4 linked regions of the Caenorhabditis elegans genome follow. The protein of the gene in region 1 interacts with the protein of each later gene in a pairwise test. Each region holds a gene or a part of one and is shown on either strand. Other genes may lie near its edges. The genes, in order: par-3, dnc-2, sas-5 and spk-1.

Region 1 (5,144 bases):
TCATAACAGCTACAGTACCCATTCATGTACGAGAGGGCCCGAAGCTGCACCATAAAAAGGCATCGAGCACGGGTAAACTGTGAGAACAAGAAGAATACAGGATGACTGTACGGAATGACTCATATCATTTATGTGTGCTCTTCGCTCCAAGACCCCCCAACAAGTAAGCCACGGTGGGGTTGCGCAAGGGCATCAAGAAGAGGAGCGGCTGAGAAAAAATGACGACAATCATCAGATCGAACGACAAATAGAAACAGAAACACTCGGAAGAGAAGGGAAGAGAGATAGAAAGGGGAAGATGTCTATATACACATCATTCCTAACCATTTCTTCTTATCTTCTCAATAGTTGGTAAAATGTCCATGATATTTGTTCTCGTCGCGAACAACAACAACACAAGCTGTTTATCAGTAAAGAAAAATACAAAAACCACCCGAAAAAAAGCTGCTTTCAGAACAGATGATTCGTAGTGGCAGCGGAGGATGGCGATAACATGAGATATGAGTGTTATGACATTGCATGTAGAATAGGGGGTGCTTTATTTCACGATGATGGCGAGGAGAGAGAGATAGAGATAGATGAACAACTTTAAGTGCTGCCAATTCACATGTTCTGGAGCTATTCGGAGGCCTTTGGAGTCAAATACAATAAGTTTGAAAGGAACAATAATTCAAGGTTTTCACATCACAATTTTCATTTTTCAACTGAAATTCAAAACTTCCACAATTATGAATAACGCCAAAGTTGTTCACAATTTTTGAATTGAAATTCAAAACCGAACAAAAACATTCCAAGGTGACTCACCATATTTTTTTAGTCACACGAAAACTTTGAGTTCTGTTCAATTTTCTTTTCGGCTGGGACTAAACACAGCTTTACATGTTACATGACCATAAAAACTGGATCAAATTAGTAAATGGAAAATTTATAAAGTCTGATACGGCTGAAAAAAAAACTCCTGCCTTTGAACCGTGCTCATCGTAATATCAAAAGTGTAGGCGGCGGGTTTAAAACTGGCGCCCAACTTCCTAACAAAACACTAATTTCTGCAATTGACTCACACTTTCTACTCGTACTCCTATTACACAACGTCCAACTATACATTCCATTTGATTAATTTCAAGTTGGTTGTTGCTGCTGATAATGATTATATCGTCCTCAACGTCAAATAAATCTAAATCAACAAAACTGAGAGAGAGAGAGAGAGAGAGATAACAAATCTTAAGCCTTCGAATAAATTCTTATCAGATTTATTTAGATCAACTGCCTGCCTACAGCGGAAAACTTAATTTACTGCGAAACGAATGCTACAACCTGCGCGAACAGGAAGCATGATGATCGACGACGATGATGATGAGGGGGAAGAGATTCGTACAAAATCCGCCATGAAGTGAACATGGTGAGAGACCAATGCATGTTATATAAACAAAAATCTACCAAGCGCGTCGAAATCAATCCGTTTATTGCAAATTGCAAAATCCAATCGGGACGAGGCGACGGCCTCCGGAATTTCCATGCCGCACAGCGTACGCCGATTAAAGTCAAATTCGACCAGAATCCATTTTGGAAATTAATCCCTCTTTGGCTAGGATTCGCTAGTTATGGTTGGTGGTCCAAGAGGAGAAAATTGCCTTCAATTTGTAGAGATTTTCAAGAAAATGAAGCGATCATTGGATATTCAATCAAGATAAATGTTTTACTGCTTAGTAAATATAAATTGGGATGATAACCACTAAGTCTTAATGTTTAAAGTGAGAAGATCAGGAGTAACTAAATAAAAATCCAAGAGCACCACAGTTCAACTCCACAAAATAGTAAAACTTTTTGACAGTCACTTATGAGAGAGAATGAAGAAATATCTATTATTTACAGTGTTGTGTGCCAACAACACACTGTAACACTGTCTGCGTCTCTTCCAAACTTTCTTTTTCTCCAAAGCGGAAAAGGAAGGGGATTATTTGGTGAAAATGAACAGAGAAATGGTATTCAACACATCCTCATCGGTGCGGCCTTGTTCTCAGCCGAATTAACCTCTCCGAGAAAACGAAAGGGGGCTGCTGCTTCTTCGGGAATGGAATAATATTGGAAGAGAATAAGACGAAGATAAAATTGCGTGCTTCTTGTTGATTTTCCTTTCATTATTCCCGACTGACTGTATTCATGGGAAAATTTGGGATACGCTTTTTTGCCTCCAAAATGACCTTTTTTCTGCAAATTTTTGGAGAAAAAAAATTACCATTCCCCTCGCTTTTTTGTACCGAAGAAGTGCTGCGTCTGCTAGTTGACCAACTGTCTGATCCTGAACAAGAAAAATATTAAAAAATTGATTGAACATTTGAAAAAAAAGCTCACCGATTCCTTCCATGGTACCACAATTTTCATTCGTCCAAATTGAACAGTGACTCGGCGAGTTCCATTCAGTGGAAGCGATTGATATTGGCTCTGAAAAATTAAAATATTGCTTATAATTATAAATTACAACCAAGGTTTCAAATATTCAATGGATTTCACATTTTTTAAAGTAAAAAATAATTCCAGATTTCGGTGTTATAATCGAAAAAGCCAGAAATTTCAAATTTGAAAAGGATCTTAAACTTTCCAACTCAAAAATAGAATGTGTACAAAATTCGGATTTTGACTTAAAAATTTGAATTTACAAAATCATTTTAAAATGCGCATTTTTGCAGTATGAAAATTTGCAGAAATGGAATTCTCAGCAGTTCAAGCATTTTTTTGAAACAAAAATCGGGTAGAACTGTTGACAGTTTGAATTGAAGATTTCTGAAGCGTGAATGAAAGATAATTCAAGATTTTTTCTCCAATTTTTAAGAAAAAAAAACTTCCGCACTCTATCAAGTGTAGATATTGAGGAATTCGCGTAACCACTCGCAATTCCGTACTGTTGCATTCGTTTTTTCAGTGTCGATTCACCCTCGTCGCTGCTTTTACAGCTTCCCGATGGTTCGCCACCTTCCGGACACGATGTGCTAGATGATGACGTGGATGAAGCCGACATGATGATCGATCTGAAAATGAGCAGATATAAAGAAAAATTAAATGAAATGAAAAGAAGTTTTAACAAACCAATCAACGTTTCTCCTCCCGAGAGGCTCTCTCGTTTCGCACCTATTTGCTCTGCGAGACCTTTTCTATCTGCAAGAAAATATATATTAGAGTGATAAGAAAATGATTGGTGTGTCTGTGAAGTAAGTAACAGTAAGAGAGAAAGAGCAAATGATTTAGTGTGCTCAGCGATGGAAAAAAGTTTGAATTTAGCGGGAAAACATTAAAATCTTAAAAATTTGTCCGAATTGCCCGCGCCAATTTTAAAAGGATACAAAAATTAGCTTTTTAGTGATTTTATTCTTGAGTTTTCAAATCTGTAATACAAAAAATTCAGCGTTTTAAGTTTTGTTTTTGCGCAGACAAATTCAGCTCGAAAAACAATATTCTGAAAAAAATCGGCCCGATTTCCGATTTCAATCGGATTTTTTCGTGTTTTCAAGATCTGAATAGCTTAATTGATCTTCTGGACGAGAATTAGTTGACGGAATGAGAAAAAACTCAAAATATCGCACATAAATCAATAGACAATCTAAAAATTTGAAGTTTTTGCAGATTTTAATTTTCAAAAAAAATTTCCCGCCATGCGATAGGTCTCGCCGCGAATGCGTACCGTACCCATCTGTTCCGAAAAATGATTACTGTATTTCTCAATTTCACAAGTCTACAAATTTTTTTAAATTTTATTTAAGAAAAAGCGGCCTTAAAACTGAATTCGCAGTCATCGCATTGCTCATCGCATAGCTAAATAATAAATGAATTTTTGATATCAAAACAAACAATGAAACCTTTGCTGGGAAAATGGGAGGACATTTCTGGAAGACAGAACGGGAGGAAGGTGGTTATCCAATTACATTTTTGGATTCTCTCTACTCTATTTTCTCTCTCAGTGCTCACCAAGGATTTCCAAATGTGCCTATTTTATTTCCACTTGGGCAATTTGTCAAGTGGAGAAGTCACACAGAGGATCCTCTAGAGAAGATGATGATCCATTATAATGAGCATGTTGGAGGAGACGAGTTTTTGGAAGAACACCGAGTTGTGCTGGGATGGATTTGTAAAAAAACAGGAAAGACTTGAAAATAAATTGCTCTACTTTTTGGGGAAAATTCAATTTTTCTTGGATTCGGAAAACCTTATTGTCGGTTTGTGATTTAAAATCAGACGCGGAATTTTGCGTTTTTCCAAAAATACGATACGAAAATGTTTTGTTAAATACATATATGTGGGGAACGCTATGAAAATTCAATGAAAATTCTTGAGCAACGAAAGTTTGAAATTACAGTACTCCTTAAAGGCGCAACCCTTTTCGCATTTAACAACAGTTTGTCGTGTCGAGACCGGGTACCGTATTTTCGGCGTAAAATAAACTAAAACCGACTATAGGTCACATATTGTGTACCATTACACTTTCTGATTGGCATTTTCCTAATGTAAAATGTCAAAAAAGAGAAGGTTGAGTCAGTGCGCACCAGCTGTATTGCACAAGAGTTAGAGAGCCATCACCTCATTGCATATGCCAACTTGACGCCACGACACACATATTTCATGAGATGGATTGGAGAAGCAAAATGACAAATTATAGTCGTGTCAATAAGTTATATGAAGTGGGTGCTGTCCCGACTATTAGTTGAGCTGGCAAACGACGAAATGAACAGAGATTGGCGCAGCGGTGCGCGATTGGATATTAGAAAAACAGTGAGTTACCAGCGGAGCTCGCGCGGCTTGTCAAATGCTCGGAGAGCCTGAATGGAAAAGCTCAAACTGAACAATCAACTTTTTGCACTTTTCTACGATTGCTTTTCCGAAAGTTTAAAAATCTACAAGAAAGATATTTTTAATTGCCTTTTATCGAAAAAAAAAGAGCAGGCGAGGTATTGCCATCGACGTTCATACCTCAACTTAATGTCAATGAGACTCATAGGTCCGATTGACCGAGACACTATTTGTGTAGAGGTATGCATGAATAACACCGTCTCTCCTCTCTTCGCCGACTGACCTTGCTCGGTACTTTTATGGGCCACAACACCAAACCGTTCGTTATTTGTGAAAGGGGCCTTAGCGGGCGGGTGATGATGATG
Region 2 (4,111 bases), 260 kb from region 1:
AATTTTCGTTTCTCCTTTTGTTGGATAAAATTTTTGGTTTTTCAAAAATATTATGAATCAAAATCAAACGAAAAACAAAAAAAAACAAAAAGCAAAGCAAAATCGCGACATAAAAAAATATACCGTATACCATCATAGACGCTGGCGCTCTAGGACACTTTTCGATAAAATGACTTTTTTTTTGCTCAAATTAGCGAATTCTTTATTTAGCAGATTGTGGAAATTTATCAAGACTTGAGTTTTCATGTCGGGACCAACCGAAATATTTCAGAACTTTATCAGTGACCCACGATCAATGTTCCCGAAGATGGTGAGAACTAAAAATGCTTTTCACTTCTTGCAATATTTCATGGGAACTTTTCGACGAATGTTCCGAAATAAAACAGAAATGATTGAGCATTTCAATTATTATGATGATCAAGTAAAAGGAACTGATTGTCATATTCAAGAGGAATTGGATTTTGCCAGATTTAAATCATATTTCGATAGATATACAAGAACTCATTACAATCCTGAAATTCGTATTATCTTTGCAATAATGACTAAAGATTCTTCTCATATGACGGTTGAATTCCATGTTACATCACAATCTTGGTTTGGATTCGAAGATCATTTTCATATGATTATCAGAGCGGTTAATGTGAGTTTTCGCGAAAAATCTGACTTAGAAATATGAAAATTTCAGGACGAGAATGTCGGATGGGGAGTTCGTTATCTGAGTATGGCCTTCAATTGCTGAATAGAGATTGGTTCATTCGGAAATATGGAAAGCAAAAATAAAGCACATAAATATATCGAACAGATTAGTTAATGTTGCATTGTCCGTACACAATAAATTATGAATTGTTTCTCTAGAAAGGTCGATAAAATCACTTCAAATCTGCCACTTTTGCCTCGAGAAGCTTCAGCTTTTCAACCACTGACCCGATTTCTTGCTTTCCTTGGGACTGTAATTTCAATAATTTAATTTGTTTATATTCCTCGAAACAATTAAAAAACACACCTCATACTCGATAATCGCTTCTCTTCCTTGCGCGACTTCCTTTTCGAGTTTTTCTCTGATAGTTTTCAAATGTGATAGTCCACCGGCAAAGTGTTGAACTTGTTCGTGAAGACGGTTCAATGCTTTAACCTTATTAACATTGCTTGGAAGAGATGAGCAAGCGACATCCCATTTTTGCATAAGCTCCAGAATTTCATCAACTTTCTTGTCAAGATTCTCGTCGATATCATTGTTGGCGCGTGTCTCGTCGATTTTTTCAAGTTTGGTAAGCATCATATTCAAACGTTGTTCAAGACCGGAGACATACGAATGATTAAGCGTTTCGCATCTCAAACATTTTTCATACGTTTTTATTTTTTTAAATTTAAGATATCTCACCTGAGTTTGAGATCTTCAATGGTGTCAAGTACGGGAGCTGATGGAATAACCGAACTTCCAATAACTTGTTCGATTCTTCTCAACCTATTTTCAAGAGTTGCCACTTTCGAGTCAGTGCGAACATTTGGTAACTCAACATCATGCTCAACTCGTGCAGTTTTTCCATTTGACTGAGCCACTTGCAACGTTTTCACTTCTTTCTCTAGATTCTCAAGAACCTCAGCGTTGAGCAAATCCGTTTTAAGATTTTCATCAGCACGAATTTGTTCATTCAGATCGGCGACTTCGTACAAAATGCGATTCAGTTTTTCGGCTGCAGTCTCGGTTCCCGAAAATCCTGCACCAGTAACTTCCAATACGTATTGATTGTTTCCAAATGCGTGTCGCCGCTTTTTAGCAATCGAGTCAGAAAAATCTAAATTTAAAAAAAAGATGATAAGTAATATTATTTTAAAATTACCGCTTGAAGTCAAGTTCAGTACCCGGTTTTTGTACTTTTTGAGAGCTTCGTCAACGTCAACCGAAATCTGTAAAAATCAGAATTCACTAAATATTTATATTATTTAAATTAATTAAATACAAACCAGTTCGATATCCGGATGAGTTGGATTGTCATTTTCAGGTTCACTTTTTTGAACTTGACTTGCAGCTCCGTCAGACTCGTAGATATCTTCTTTTCCAATAGATGACATTTTGACGCAAGATTTGAGAGTTTCTAGAAAACAGAATTTGATTTAAAATATTTAGGATCAAACGGCAAAAATTTAGAAAAATGAATAAACAAAATGTATGATAGGTTAAAGTAATAAATCGTGCTAGAAACATCAAAATGGCCGTGGAATTGATTGCGAAACAAGTAAATTAGATTGTCCGAGAGGACTACACACAACAATGAGTTACTGCGCTCTACCGGCACGTATTAGAGATTAGAGGCGACAGAGTTCAGTTTTGGCAAAAACGTTCGATTGTTCGAATTTAAACAGTTTTATTGTATTTCGTTCTTTTTATTTATTTTTCTGTAAATTTATTAAATTTTTAAGTTTCAGATGTACTCAGCAAATAGATCTCATCGCGCTGAAACAAGAAATCGCTCAAAAGATGAACTCCGAAAGGTAAACAATCAACTTTTCCAAAACTAAACTGATATTAAGATTTTCAGGTTATCAACTCATTGGAAAAAGTTCGTCGGTGGGAAAAGAAGTTAGTTCTTATCAAGGACACAAATATTCGGATCTACAAATGGGTTCCGGGTAATTTTTTATTTTAACACGTATTTCGGTATTTAGAAACTATTTATATATAAATTTATATGAAATACTTTTTTAAAATAGTAATTATTAAAAAAAAAACTTCACACTTATATTTTTGATACAATTCAATGACTCTGCATTATGAATTAATAACATATTCTGCTATATAAAAGTTTTGAATTTCTCAAAAAAAAAACCAAACTTTCAATACAACTTTTTCAGTGAGCGCTCAAAACATAATGGCTCCTCCAAAGATCAAGGAAGTCAAAGAAGTGGATGAGGAGAGCAATCAAGTCCCATCTGCTGAGAATTCCCAGGATTCCACCAGCGTTACCCAACCACCACCACAATTCGATATCAACGAAGATTCCAATTTTTCCACTGGCGATCACTTTGATAGTGACTCCAATCAAACTTTCGAGCCACAAAACTATCAAGGTGGAGCCACTGGTTCAACGGATTTCAGTTCGATGCGCGACGCTGAAATGACATCAAAACAACCATAAAATCTTTATCTAATGATCTCTAATCTGTACTCATTTTGATTTCATGTTGTATCATATAATCCTGATTCATTCCGAACTTTATCTCATTAATTCAAAAATTTTCATGTTTCATCACATTTATTTTTAATAATTTTTTGTATTCACCAGTTAAAATAACAAGTTAAAACTTTAAATAAAACCCATTTCAGTGCTGTTTTTACAAGTGAATCTGCCATTGAGAGATTTAAATCTTAAAAGATGAGTATCAAAATAGTAATTGTTGCATAGATCAAAGAAAAATGTGAAGAAGAAGAATTCAGAACAAGCTTCTCATTGCGAGGGCAGAATCCGAAAAAAGATTGTAAAGGTTGGGGATATCCATCAGCAATATCAAATACAGATCGGGATGAATTCATTCGAAAAACTTGATTTCCACGTAGAAGATGAATTTCTTTTTCATAAGTGAAGGCAGAATGTACTCCTTTTGGAACTCTCGCCCAATTCAGATCAGTATCTTTTGGATACCTTTCATCAACTCTTCGATGATACATTTTCTCGTCTAATTTCCAATATCGAGATCCTTTCCAAATGTATACAGCAGGCGGACTGAAATGGAAATTATATTTGATTTTATTAAGTTGTGGTCCTGAACGAACCTTTTCAGCTACCGTACCCTCAGAGTAGTTTCTCAAAATGTATTATGTACCGTCTTTTTGGAAATATTTAAATAAATGTTTTTTTTAAACACCAAGATAATCTTTCAAAGTATCAAAGTAAATCGGTGAAAAGCTGCTAAACGATCGCGGGTACGATATCTGAAAAGTTTCGTTCGTGCCAAGACCCGAGTATTTTTGATTAGCAATGTGTTACGTTTTGGTAACATTTCAAACTTGAAACAAATATGTTAAAAAGTAACGATTTTTCAAGTTTACGAACTTTCGAATTTTCGCTGAACCTACAATTATCATTACTCAATATTTATTTTTTACTAACTG
Region 3 (4,452 bases), on another chromosome or scaffold:
TTTACTGGTTATAGATGTGAGTTTGATATTATAGGTGTGGGTCGCAATACTATTAGAGAAAATGGGGTATTATTTTTAGTGATAGATTTTACTTTAAACTAGGGCTGAATAATAAACGAACCTGGTTGTACTTTGATTGAAAACCATACTCTTGACATGGAGACAAATTACAGGATAAATATAACTGAAGTTTTGTAGTTCCCAAAAGGAAAAACGTTGCCTTAATGTATATAAATTATTATTTTTGCATCACATTCAAAATTATTTTTTAGATTATATAAAAAATATTTAAAAGAAATGAGATAAAAATTGTTTATGAGTGGATGATAATACAGTTAAATCATACTTTGAAAATTACCCGAAAAAAAACTACAAAAATGCCAACTCTTAAAAATAACTTGTTTTTCATAATACAGATAATTCCAGGAATTCAAATATCGTCTTATTGGGAAGTTCTTGTTTGATTTCCACAGGTTGCCATACATGAGTTGTAGTTGGGGAAGTTGTTGGCATTTCCGAGAGTTCCATAGAATGAGAAACGCATGCAAGTTGTGTATTTTGGAACCCAGAAGTATTTGTCACTTTTCTCTCCTCCGACAGCAAACTTTCCAGAGTCATATGTCAAGTTGCAAAGATAGTCTGTGAATTTGAAATTTAAGAATAAAACATTTAAACATTTGATGCTTACTGGATGTTGGACAACAGAATGATTGAATACAGTTATGACCCTGTGGGCAAGTATTAGCTCCTGCTGAGCATCTCACTGGTGTCAAGTGGTCAGTGTCATAGGTAGCAGAGCAAGCAGCTTAAAATTTTTAGAATAATTGCCATAGTTACTAGCTAACCTCACTTACACTTCATTTGAACGGTTTCATCACTTGACTCCGAGTCTCTTTGAGCTTGAGCATTGGTACAAGCTGATCTACACTCTTGTGCACTACTGAACCGGTTACTATTACCACCACATCCCTGATACATGAATGGTTGACACGTTCCAAGTCTTGGAAGATAATAGAACATTCTAGAAGAACTGTTCTCAGCGCAAGTATTTCCAGAGTCCCGTGCAGCAAAACAGTCAACAGAAGTCGATTGAGCCGCAGTGAAAGACAATAGGGAGAGAATCTAAATAATAATTACATTTAAATTAACTGAAAGTCGTATGTAGATCTAAAGTAGATCTATTTCTGGATTTAGTAGTTTTTAATTTAACTAAGTTTCAAACCTCATAATTAAAAGGATTTTAAAACTCACCACAGCCAATCTAAGTGCCATTTTAGTTTTGCCACGTGAAAATGTTGTACTCGAGTTCTGGATTTCTTTTAAATAGGCCATCGAGATTCCCGCCCCTTTAAACTATTGTACTGGCAATCGTGTAAGCTCTTGCTACCGTGCAACACCACCAACAGTCAAATCCAAATTCCAGTTTTGATCTGACCCCACGGAGCAAACATTGTGTGTATAATGTACATATACTGTTGGCTCCTTCGCACTGACTTTTTTACCACGCTGATTTATTTTGAGACACTTTTTCTGTGTCTCGCTGTCTATCTGTGTACAGAGGAAAAATTTTCTCGGAATTTTTAGAAAACCAGTCGGGAGTGTTTACTTGTTTTTTAATACTTTTAATACATTGGAAAATTGTGTAGGTTGAGAAGATTTTTTGTTTGAAAATCTGTCAATCTAAATTTGTTCAACTGATCAGGAACATTCTTCTAAATTGCAGATAATATGAGAAAGTAGAAAATTCTGTTGTTTTATAATAATATCATTTAATTTAATTACAATCTTCTTTCGTCCCCGAATGGTCATGCGAAAAGAAATGTGAGAAAATATACAATGTGCGCGCTCATCTTGCAAAAAATGTGCGCGGGGGTTGCAGCAGAGGCCACGCCCCCGCGACACCAACGCGCCAATTTTAAAGAAAAAACGTTTTATTTTCCAATTTCATAGTTTTAACAGAAATGACCTCGCATTAAGCGGGAATGAATAATTACGACGACTTACCCTGCTCTATTTACTTCAAAAAACCAACTGGTGAGTTGTTTTCGATATAAAAGTGTTAAAATTGCCAATTTAGTCCAGGAGTTTGTGGATCAACCGAGAGTCTTCGAAGATTCTGAAGTCCCTGCCTTTCAAGAAGTTCTTCAGCTTCCACAAGAAAGGACAAAACCCCCAGTACCATCTACGCAGCCAATTGTCGCCGCTGTAGAAGTAGCCAAGAAAAAATCGTGTCTTTCGGCTCCGAAACCAAGAAAAGAGCCACCTTCGCATCCAGCGCTTCGCCAAAAAACAGTTGCGTTTGGAAAAACAGTTAACGTTTCCCAAACTGTCGAGGTAATTAAATTAAAATTGTTCCATGGCATAATTCCACTAAATTATCTTTCAGGGAACATCTCGGAATTCAAAAAAAGTGCTTGCTTCAACAATGTCTGCCCAAAATACGACAACGACTGAAGAACAGGCAGCTGAAAACTGGCGGGACGCTATGAAAACAGAACTGCAAACGATACGAACAGAGATTCAAGAAGAAACGGCCCGGCGACAAGAAGAGCTCAATGCTCAAAATCTTGTTAAAATGCAAGAATTGATGTCAAACTTCTTTCAGAGTATGTTTGAATATATATTATCCCATAAATTCAATAAATAATAATTTTTCAGAGATAACGATTCCTAAACAGCAAGCGATCGAACCAGTTGAAAAAGACAAAGAAAATTTTCATGAGAGTCCTCGTCAATCAAGACAGCAGAAGCCAGCTAGTAAAGTGAGAATTCAGATAAAAAATAAATCAAAAAGTACTCCGTTTTAAGATCGCTTCGGCACGAGAAGTTATCAAAAGAGACGGTGTTATACCTCCAGAAGCATTAACAATTATTGAGCAACGCCTTCGCTCGGACCCAATGTTTCGCCAACAAATTGATAATGTTCTAGCAGACGTGAGTAGTGTATTTAAATCCGATAGAAATAGTTTGTTTTCAGGCTGAATGTGATGCTAACAGAGCTGCATATTCTCCACCACCACCAATGTCTGAAGTTAGATACGGATCTGGTGTGAATCCTGCTTTGATGAGAGAAACACTTACGGTAGAACGAAGTATTCGATATGACAACGGACTCGCTTCTATTGATTCTAGACAGTGGACAAATGAGAGACGTGATAATCGTGGTAATTTAATTTTTCAATATTCAAACACAGAATTCGTCCGCTAGAATTGTATAAATATAATAATTCACGCATTCCAAAATGTATCAAATAATTCATTAAAAATGTTTGAAAGTTGATAACCATTCGTAGTGAAAACACTTTATACTACGAAATGATTTTAAGATGAAATCCTCAAATCAGTTGAAAAATTTGAATTAAAAGTCAAAAATGAGAAGTCTCTTCACTATTCAAAAAAACCTTTTCTAGCTCCTGACTCATACCGTACCTACGAACCGGATCAACCATGTCACTCACTCTATCAAAAGGGTCAAAGTATTAGCTATTATCCGTCAGAAGCAGCTGGAAAAACGACAGCTAGAAACAATCGAACTGGATACTACGTGGAAGATTCATCAGATCATGAAGAGGATGTTGTAGTCAATAAACGGGGACAGAACTATCACGAGCAAGCGGTACCTGAGACTCCAGCTGAACGAGAACGCCGTATTCGTGAAAAATACGCTCGCAGGAAATGATATCAAATGTGTTTAACTCTTGACGTTTTAAAATTATCATTAATCACTACGTGTAATGTCTGTGAATTGTACTAAAACCATTACTTCCAGCTGTGACCTGAATAAATTTTGAATTTCATCGATTCTTTCTCATTTGATCATATGATCGAGATAGTCTCGAACTTAATTCGATTTTCAGCACTTCACACTTCTGTCATTGTTTGACAAGTACCAACTTGACCTTTCCATCGGTCTCCTTCAAGAGTTTCATTTGTGTACGAAATAAAAATGAAAATTCTAGTAGTGTACGTGTTAATTGGAGAAGTTCTACGAATTTTTAAACTACAAGTTCATAACTTTTAAAACAAACTGTTATGGCATGTACACATGTGTTCCTGTATTAAAACACTTGCTGTCTTCAGACTTTCCAATTGAAAAGATACACTTTCACTTGATTTTCCATATGCAAGCAAGCGTTTTGAACTATCACTACCTTTCTCTATTTTTGATTTCTCTTCCTGTTGACTTTTGCACCCGAATTTTTTGAATTTCTTTTGTCAAAATCTAGTAAATATTGACATTGATTATTTATAGAGAGTAGGTGGAAAATTAGAAAATATAAAAGATTAGGTGTGTCTTGTTCATCTTTGCAAATTTGTTTTTTGGCATTTTCAAAAAGTTCGAGAGAGCACCCAGATGTTTGGACTTCAACTGTTCCATTGTACTCTCCCCATTTATAAACTCTGCGATTTTTCCCATTTCTCTCTAAACACTGATACCACAGTTTTATCAGG
Region 4 (7,944 bases), 3.8 Mb from region 1:
TGTTTTCTGGAATATATTAGATTTCAGTTAATCTGAAAAAAGTATACTTTTATAATCCTGTTTTAACGTTTAATTCAATAAATTGTGTTAAAAATTAAATCAATTTTCAGCCTTGACCAGCCATTCACCAGCCGATTCTGTGTCAAAAATGCTCAAAAACCATCATCTGCTCAACGTACTCCATTCAGTTTCTATCTTCACATGGTATGGCTTATAATAATTCACTCTTGTTCCTCCTCACTTCAAGAAATGTTTTTTCAGGTTACAAAATCTCCTCCACACGCTGAATTTGTGCACATTGATGAAAATGGATATGCAATTAAGTGCAACGTTCTCCGTCAATCACCCAATCTCTTCCGTGCTATCGCTCAATTTATTCATTTTGTGAAACATGAAAATCATGGATATCTGGATCAGACCTCAATCGGACCATCAGGAATTAACATGACATACGTCCTGGCGTGAAAAATTCAATTCAAGTTTTTATATGATGTTTATTATCGTATCCTTTAACAGGTTTTTATTTTCTCCCGCTTTGTTTTGTTGTTCTTTTGTTACGATCTCTCGACGACCACCCACATGAATCAATTATTTTTTATCTCGCTAACGTTACAAAATTCAATCATTTATGTCTACGAGGAAACCGAGATAATGAGAGAGAGAGAAGGGGAAAGGAAGCAATGAAGCACAGTAAAGATTTGAGAAAGGTTTATGCCAAATAGTTTGGGTATGTGAACAGACGGAGGAATATAAATGAAAAAGAAATGGGGGGAAAAGATGATCTACTGTTTGAGGCTGATAGAAGCATATGATGTTGTTGGGCAGAGGATAAGGACGATGTTCGTACAAAATAATTATATTATACCAGTAGCACTAAAGATCAAAAGGCGCTTCAACGAGACGCGCACGAGAGTGGCGCTAAACGTGCTTACTGCTCAGTCACTTCAGGAAGAACGGTGGTAAAAAAGAGAAAGGATGCGGTGATTCGATGTAGAAAGTGACAGGGAGAATGGGGAGATGAAGTAGTCGGATGATTGTTGAAATCCGAAACAATAAGTTAAACACTGTCTAGATTCAAAACATAAAAGTAAACACTCTGGAACAAAAGATTGGAAAATGCTGAAAAAAAAAATTAGCCCGAAGTGTTTTCTTTTCACCTATCGTAGGCAAGAAACGAGTAAAATTTGATTGAAAAAAGGAAAAACATAAAGATGAATATCGTCAAATTGACAGGAGAACATGTTTAACTCGGGAGATGTGCAAGAGGGCGTTGAAGAGTGACGAGACGGTGATGGAAGTGTTAACAAACAGGAGGGATTCGTGCACTACTGCAAATCCAGCTGAAAGCGTTCAATGTCAGAAATGTCGGTCGTTTCATTGTTTGTTATCACCCCCGATGGACCAGGTCGATTCATGTTGAACTCCTCCTCGTCGTCGTCGTCGCTGCCGCCCGCAGACCTGCTATTGGCACTCCTCTCGCTGCAATTTGCGTTTACATCCGCGTCGGTCCGAGCTTACGAACCTCGCCGATCTACTATCATTTTCGTCACGGTAAACTTCCTGATGCTCATTTCCGTCGAACGGCTCGGGAATCAATCCATCCGGAAACATCTTGCTCAGAAGCTGTAAAAATTATAGAGAAAATATTGAACAGACAATTAATATAAAACCTCAGGTGGACAATCAGATTTTGGCGCTCTTCCTCCAAATGGTAACAAGAACGGATGTTTCAATGCAATTTTGGCCGTAGATCGTTTCTCCTGATCGAAATCAAGCATCGGACGAAGGAAACTTTCAAACTGCTGCGCGTCTTCATGAGACCACTCGTATTTTTGTCTCAAAACCTCGTATAGTGACCATGGTTTAAGTTGGTGAATGTGAAGTAAGTGTCCATTTTTGTGGAAGAACTCTCTCCAATGTTTACCCTTTTTGTAAATTGACGGTGGAATTGCTCCAAGAAGTTCGGAAATGTGCGCAAGATGATCTTCATCGCGTGAATAGTTATCTCCTTGGTGTGGTTCAAACAAATAGTCACCGGTTGCCAATTCAAAAGCCATACACGCGGTACTCCAAATATCAGCTGGAGGTCCGTATCCTGAACCGATCAACACTTCAAGTGCTCTATACTGACGAGTTTGAATATCGTCCGTGTAGTGATGATTCACCCAACACGCGTTTCCGAGATCAGCGATTTTGACGTCGATGTCACAATATGGATCACCAATGTTGGGGCCAACTGGAGGAGCAGGCAGGATACCACCTGGAGGCAACTGGCTCATGGGCGAGCTCAGATATTCGGCGGATGGTGAGGCCAAATCTCCAAACTTGCTCTCCGGATCACTGAATGGAGTCAGCGTGGTTCTATCGAAACGATCAGGGCTCCTGATTTCCACCTGAAAATATAAATGGTTGTGGCTACAAAAATGAAATATATCATACCTTGTTTCTGTTTCCATTTTCATTGACAGTATCTTCCATGGTGACATCTTCCACTTGTGAAGCGTTGAAGTTCTCCAACTCCTGAAAAAATAAAAATTAAATTAATTGATTCAGATTTTTTTCTAAACTGAATTCACAACATGTTTAAGCTTATATATGATAAAAATTAGATACAGCACTGATGTATTTTCTGCAACAAAGACGAAACGACGAAAAAATGCAGACGGCATCCAGGGCGCAGCGGCAAAAAAAACCGAAACTAAATAGTCAGTGAATTTTAAAATAAAGAAACGGAAGGAGAAATGAGGTACGTGTGAATATACAAGCGTCTTCCGGTAATTTTGGTTGCAGAGTGGAAATAAGTGTGTGAATCGAGGAAGAGAGAGTAGAAGGGAACCATCATCATGTCAACACAACCAAACACTCACACCAACATTCGCATTCAGGATCACCTGTGTCAGATGATACGTCTGATTGCAGACGCATCCAACCTGTGGATAGAGAGATGGTGGTGGCGGTGGAACCGTTCTTGGAGACGATGGCGTATTCACACAAGAACTGCCTTGAAGCAGTTGGGGAATCGGACCATTGAAGAGCAAAGATGGAGGACGCATTCGGACACCATTTTGCTATATATCAGTTTTATCGTTTTTGTTTCGTTTTTTAAAAAATTATGATTGATAGAGTATAATCTTGATTTTTTAAAAATTACCAGCGTATTTCCTCTATTATTATTGCACATCGAAACTTTTCCAATGTTTGTCAACTAAGAAAATACTTTTTTATTTCTTTTTCTATCGTTTCAAAATTAAAATGTGAAATGATATCTTTGAAATGAACAGAGATATATTCTTTCAAATTTAAAAATTCAAGTATTGGGGTGCAATACTATTAGAAGAAGAACGGTATAGTGTTCAACTTACCGGTGCATTATTGTATGCCTCCTGCAGCCCATTAGCGTCCATTTTGAGGCCTTCGAGTCCAGCCAATTCCGCTTCCAACTTCTCTCGTTGTTTTTTGGCCTTCTTCTTCATCTTTTTCTTCTTGTTTTTCGTCATATTCTCCTGAGCCATTTTCACCAAATGATCCGGTGCAGTACTGACAGCCGATCCACTCATTTTCATATTCATCTTCCGGGCAACTACAGCATGTTGAGCCATAATCTGTAAAATTTTGAAAAATTAATTCCACAATTAATGGTTTTTAAAAAATACCTTGATCTCTTCTCGGCTCATCGTGATTAGCACATTTTCAGGTTTAATATCAGTATGAATGATGCCGCACTTTTCATGCATATATCCTAACGCCTCCAGAACTTGTCTGCATATTTTCCTAACTTGTTCCAGATGAAGTCCTCGATAATTTGAGCGTATAATCAGCTTTAACAGATTGCACCCAAGAACTTCAAACACCATAGCAACGTGCTGACCATTAATTCCCGTAACAGTGAATTCATCGAGCAATTGAACAACCTTGTGGCATCCGATGTCATTTGGATCAGCACTTCGTACGGATAGCAACAACTGAAATTATTCTCGTTTTATATTAGTCTTAATTTTTTTTTCTCGAGTCTCAGAGAATGTTGCATAAAAATCTATTGTTTCAGCACTACGTTACTTCAAAACTAACCTTAATTTCATCAAGAGCCGCTTCCGTGTAATGCTCCGCTGACTTCACTATTTTCATGGCAACAAATCGTTTGTCTTGAGTGTCCCACGCCAGCCAAACCGTAGAAAAGTGACCCCATCCAAGTTTACGAATCACATGATATCTCGCATTGAATACATCACCAATGTTGACTGGATGATATCCACCTCGTTTGTAATCACGTGGATCTTCTTGTTCTTCATCGTCAGATCCAAGTTGTTCTCCAGGATCCTGAAAATAAATATGTATAAATACAAAAAAATGAAATGCAAAAATCAACTCACCATTGGATCTTGGAATGAATCTGAATGTCCACCACCGCCGCCTCCAGGAGAATCACTTCGTCCGGGGCTCACACTTAAATCGTCCAAACGCTCTTCATTAGCATTGACTTCGGTCCTGAAAAATGTAAATTAAAAGACAGTTTCTGATTGATATTAGTAATACTAATTTAGTTAATGGAAAATAAATGTTACTTTTTGTTATTTCTTGGAATTATAGATGGACGAGGAATAGAAATAGAAGCTGAAGCGCATGCGGTTCCCAGATCATACTCGAACATCTGAATTTCGATATCTTCTGAGTCGTAAGAGGTAGCACTGTCGTCCCCGTCGTCGCCCGTTGAGGAAGACGATGTCGACGAGGAGACTGAAGAATCGATCGTCCCTTCACTCTCTTCACCCTCTTTTGCTGACCGCATTTCCACCGGAAGGTTATCGTATTTGGATGTGTCCTCATCGACAAGAACATCTTTTTCATTTTTATCGTCGTTCGAATGACACGACGCCAAATCTTCAGTTGCTGACTCTTCTGCTTCTTGTGATTCAATAGAGCTTACCGAATCAATTGATTCTTCGGTAGCATCATTCACATGAAAAGAATCATCTTGAGATTCAACGTCCTCTTCATCTGAGGCAGATACGCAAGAGTTCATGTCTTCATCAGAGCATCTTGAACCATCTTGTGATTGTAGCGACTGTTCATCGTCCTCATTCGAATGATCATTCTCATTTACAACACTTTTTTGTTGTACAGTTTCACCCTCTTCGCACAACGTTTCCGGTAGTTTACTGACTTCGGAAATGTTAGAGGTAACCATTAGAGCGTCTGATATATCGAAATTCGACGCGACGCCTCCATTATCTTCCGCACTAGCGAACACTAAATTAACTTCTGTCTCTTCATTTTGTGTACTCGTATTTATTTCTTGGGAAGAGATTTCTTCTTCTTCATTGGTCGAATTTTCTTTTTTATTTCTTTGCTTTACAAAGAAATAAAATCGATTCTGGTTGACCAAATCAACATTTATATGACAGGTTACGTCTGCAGATGATGCCAAAAGCTGTGTACAAATATCAGTTTCAGAATACGATTCGTGGTCATTCAGTTCTTCCGATTCCTCTGAATGAACACGAAAACGGCGGCGTCTCTGAACGGCTTCATCTTCGAATTTATAAAGTCGTTCTCGATGCTGGCTGAAGCCATTGAGCCATCTACAGAATAGAACCACAAACATGAATATGACAGTGGGGAAAACGTCAGTTAAGCTGAAGGAGCCGCCTGCTTCGACATCATTTGTTATACCCGAGTAATCGATAGCTGAGAGCGAATGTACTGCTCGACCGGCCAGCCTGACAGAAGAAAACTGGATTCAAAAGCAGGCGATTTTTTTTGAAATAGCGACCACGTAGAAGCGAGTTGCGACGCTTTGAGAGTGGGAAGGGGGATAAGGAAGATCAGCGGCGCGAGAAGTGTCTCGAGAATATTGGCGGCGGCCAACGAGGCGCGAGGAGCGACTTGAAGAAAACGCGATCGGTGTGAGAAGGAAGAGTGTTCAAGTGATAGTGATGTAATGATTGCGGCGCCCAACAAGAGATAGAGGAAATCCTGGGTCTCTCTTCCTTGTTTCAATCTTCAACTTGTCGGCCAGGTCGCGAAGAGGAGACAGCTGACAGAGAGAAAAGGCCAAGGTGAAGGAATAGAGAAGATAGAAAAGAAGGGACGAATGGATGGATGGGTGGATGGATGACGGACACACGAAGGTGGGATCATTTGAGACGAAGTGAAAAGACAACCAGTTGCTGTCATGAGAAAAGGACGATGCAACGATTACACCAAACAACTTATAATCATTTTGGTCCCGGTTTCAGCGATGTAATTAAAGCATATTAAAAAAAAAAACTCAAAATCTCACCTTTCCACGTGATTTGATCCGTTTGTTGTAACTGTTCCATTTTTCAAATTTGCGTTTTTCTCACCCGCTTGAGGAGATGTAGGCGTGTTTGGTGCTGTGGGCTGAAATATGAAGATTAAAAAAGCTTAATGGCAGAATTCTATTAAACTCACATTCAATCGGCGATATAGCCAATGTATTGAATGCAAAATACTAAGCATGCTCATAAATTTTCACTTTGTTTTGTTTTAAAACTAGTGTAAGAAAAGAAAATTAGTGGTTATCTCTACCCCTGGGTCATTAGCGGCTGCCACTGGCTCATAATGAAGCCGTTCTCATTTTACTTGAGGCAAAGGAGAAATCTAAGTTAAAACTGATGTGAGAATATATTAGTGGAGGGCTCGCATCCAAGAGAGTAAGCTCGGAAGTGCGTGAAATGAAGGGAATGCGACAGAGCTGTTTGAAGTTTTCAAATCTCTAGAGGCCATTAGAAAAAAAGAGTATTCTTTGGGTTCGATTTAGTGTCAGAACAGACTGAGCTTTAATTTTTCGAAAGTGTAAGTGTTTAGAAAAAGGGAAAACTTCTGAACAGAAACCGAAAAATGCTCACCTTTTTCTTATTGGTCTTCTTCTTCCTTTTCTTATTTGGCAGTGGTACTGTGCTGTTTTTTTCTGGTCCGCCCATATTCTACACTTAAACACGGTTCGTTTCACTGAAATTGATACAAATAAATAAAATAGGACTCATCAAAATTCGGGGAAAACAAGAAAACACTTCAGAGGAAAATGTTTTTGAGTTTTTAAAAGTTTGCGGAGGTTAATTGAACAACAAAAATGATGATAAAAAGATTATATCTGCCCGTACAAACATAAAATATAATTCTTGATAAGACCTATGCCAATTTCGAATGATAATAACGCTTTCAACGCGGAGGGCTCAAATTGGCGGCCGTTTTGCGCCAGAAATATCGATCTCGAGTTTGATCTGCAGGTTTGCTTGGGTACGGTGGGTTTGGCTTGCTGCCAAGAAGTGTATCATGCGCCTCCGTCTCTTATTTTCACACGCTCTCTCGCCTGCAATTCTCTATTTACAGTTGGTTTTTAGTTCGTTTTATCAGGAAAAAAGCGCATATTATTGCAAAAGTACATCATTTCTTTGTTTCTACATGTTAAATATTAATAGAGAATTTAAAAATAATGATGAGTGTTTAAAAAAATAATTTTTTTACTTTTCCCTTTTTATTTTATTTATTAATTTTTTATACTTCTATCAAAACTCAATCATTCAATATTCAGAATATACTCATTTTTGTGAAGATGAGCAGTTCGCTGCAATCAAATCGTCAGAGTCTGAATCGAAAAGTGGCCGTTATGGGATATCCTCATGTTGGTGAGCGTTTACGACAACTTTTTTTTGTAGAAAATCAAACATACCGGGAGCAAAATTGAACAAAGCAATGAAAAAATTAAAACAACTTTATTTAAACAAGGACATTCACGTTGAGAAACTTTACAGGAAAATCGGCGTTGGTACTTCGTTTCACACAAAATATTTTCCCTGAAAGGTATGAATCAACAATTGAGGATCAACATTCGAAGCACATAGCAGCGTTTCACAGGGACTATCATTTAAGAGTCACTGGTAAATTTTATCATTTTTTGAGCTTACTGAAAACTGATATTAG

What was found.
Region 2: the proteins of par-3 (region 1) and dnc-2 interact in binary tests that used the Caenorhabditis elegans proteins (3 or more experiments, as listed by UniProt).
Region 3: the proteins of par-3 (region 1) and sas-5 interact in a two-hybrid assay, tested with the Caenorhabditis elegans proteins (one study listed by BioGRID).
Region 4: the proteins of par-3 (region 1) and spk-1 interact in a two-hybrid assay, tested with the Caenorhabditis elegans proteins (one study listed by BioGRID).

What each region holds. Positions count from the first base shown.
Region 1 is NC_003281.10:5,662,244-5,667,387, reverse strand, and holds the start of par-3 (PDZ domain-containing protein), read right to left. Parts: upstream 3,156-5,144; 5' UTR 3,085-3,155; intron 3,027-3,084; 5' UTR 3,017-3,026; coding exon 2,849-3,016; intron 2,443-2,848; coding exon 2,353-2,442; intron 2,300-2,352; coding exon 2,237-2,299; intron 1-2,236. UniProt on the Caenorhabditis elegans protein: In cooperation with pkc-3, required for establishing cell polarity and regulating spindle orientation in the early embryo. Localization is crucial for recruiting par-6 and pkc-3 to the peripheral apical cortex and restricting par-2 to basolateral surfaces.
Region 2 is NC_003281.10:5,923,659-5,927,769, forward strand, and holds dnc-2 (putative dynactin subunit 2), read right to left. Parts: upstream 2,097-4,111; 5' UTR 2,074-2,096; coding exon 1,966-2,073; intron 1,909-1,965; coding exon 1,842-1,908; intron 1,797-1,841; coding exon 1,382-1,796; intron 1,332-1,381; coding exon 1,004-1,331; intron 948-1,003; coding exon 870-947; 3' UTR 740-869; downstream 1-739. Other genes in the region: C28H8.2 (uncharacterized protein), read left to right, coding at 272-640, 686-739; bcl-7 (BCL7-like protein), read left to right, coding at 2,428-2,493, 2,541-2,631, 2,854-3,137; zmp-1 (Matrix metalloproteinase-A), read right to left, coding at 3,368-3,722.
Region 3 is NC_003283.11:11,608,797-11,613,248, forward strand, and holds sas-5 (Spindle assembly abnormal protein 5), read left to right. Parts: upstream 1-1,940; 5' UTR 1,941-1,982; coding exon 1,983-2,034; intron 2,035-2,077; coding exon 2,078-2,334; intron 2,335-2,386; coding exon 2,387-2,606; intron 2,607-2,658; coding exon 2,659-2,762; intron 2,763-2,808; coding exon 2,809-2,934; intron 2,935-2,977; coding exon 2,978-3,164; intron 3,165-3,410; coding exon 3,411-3,679; 3' UTR 3,680-3,800; downstream 3,801-4,452. Other genes in the region: piit-1 (BPTI/Kunitz inhibitor domain-containing protein), read right to left, coding at 443-639, 689-805, 855-1,122, 1,252-1,272.
Region 4 is NC_003281.10:9,455,642-9,463,585, reverse strand, and holds spk-1 (Serine/threonine-protein kinase spk-1), read right to left. Parts: upstream 6,059-7,944; 5' UTR 5,603-6,058; coding exon 4,563-5,602; intron 4,486-4,562; coding exon 4,371-4,485; intron 4,318-4,370; coding exon 4,069-4,317; intron 3,963-4,068; coding exon 3,654-3,962; intron 3,603-3,653; coding exon 3,363-3,602; intron 3,069-3,362; coding exon of another isoform or gene 2,892-3,068; intron 2,521-2,891; coding exon 2,440-2,520; intron 2,394-2,439; coding exon 1,671-2,393; intron 1,624-1,670; coding exon 1,523-1,623; intron 1,480-1,522; coding exon 1,326-1,479; 3' UTR 579-1,325; downstream 1-578. Other genes in the region: B0464.6 (uncharacterized protein), read left to right, coding at 111-204, 262-465; rheb-1 (GTP-binding protein Rheb homolog 1), read left to right, coding at 7,577-7,649, 7,776-7,901. UniProt on the Caenorhabditis elegans protein: Required for embryogenesis and germline development in both adult hermaphrodites and males. SR-protein kinase (SRPK) that binds directly to and phosphorylates the RS domain of rsp-3/CeSF2 in vitro.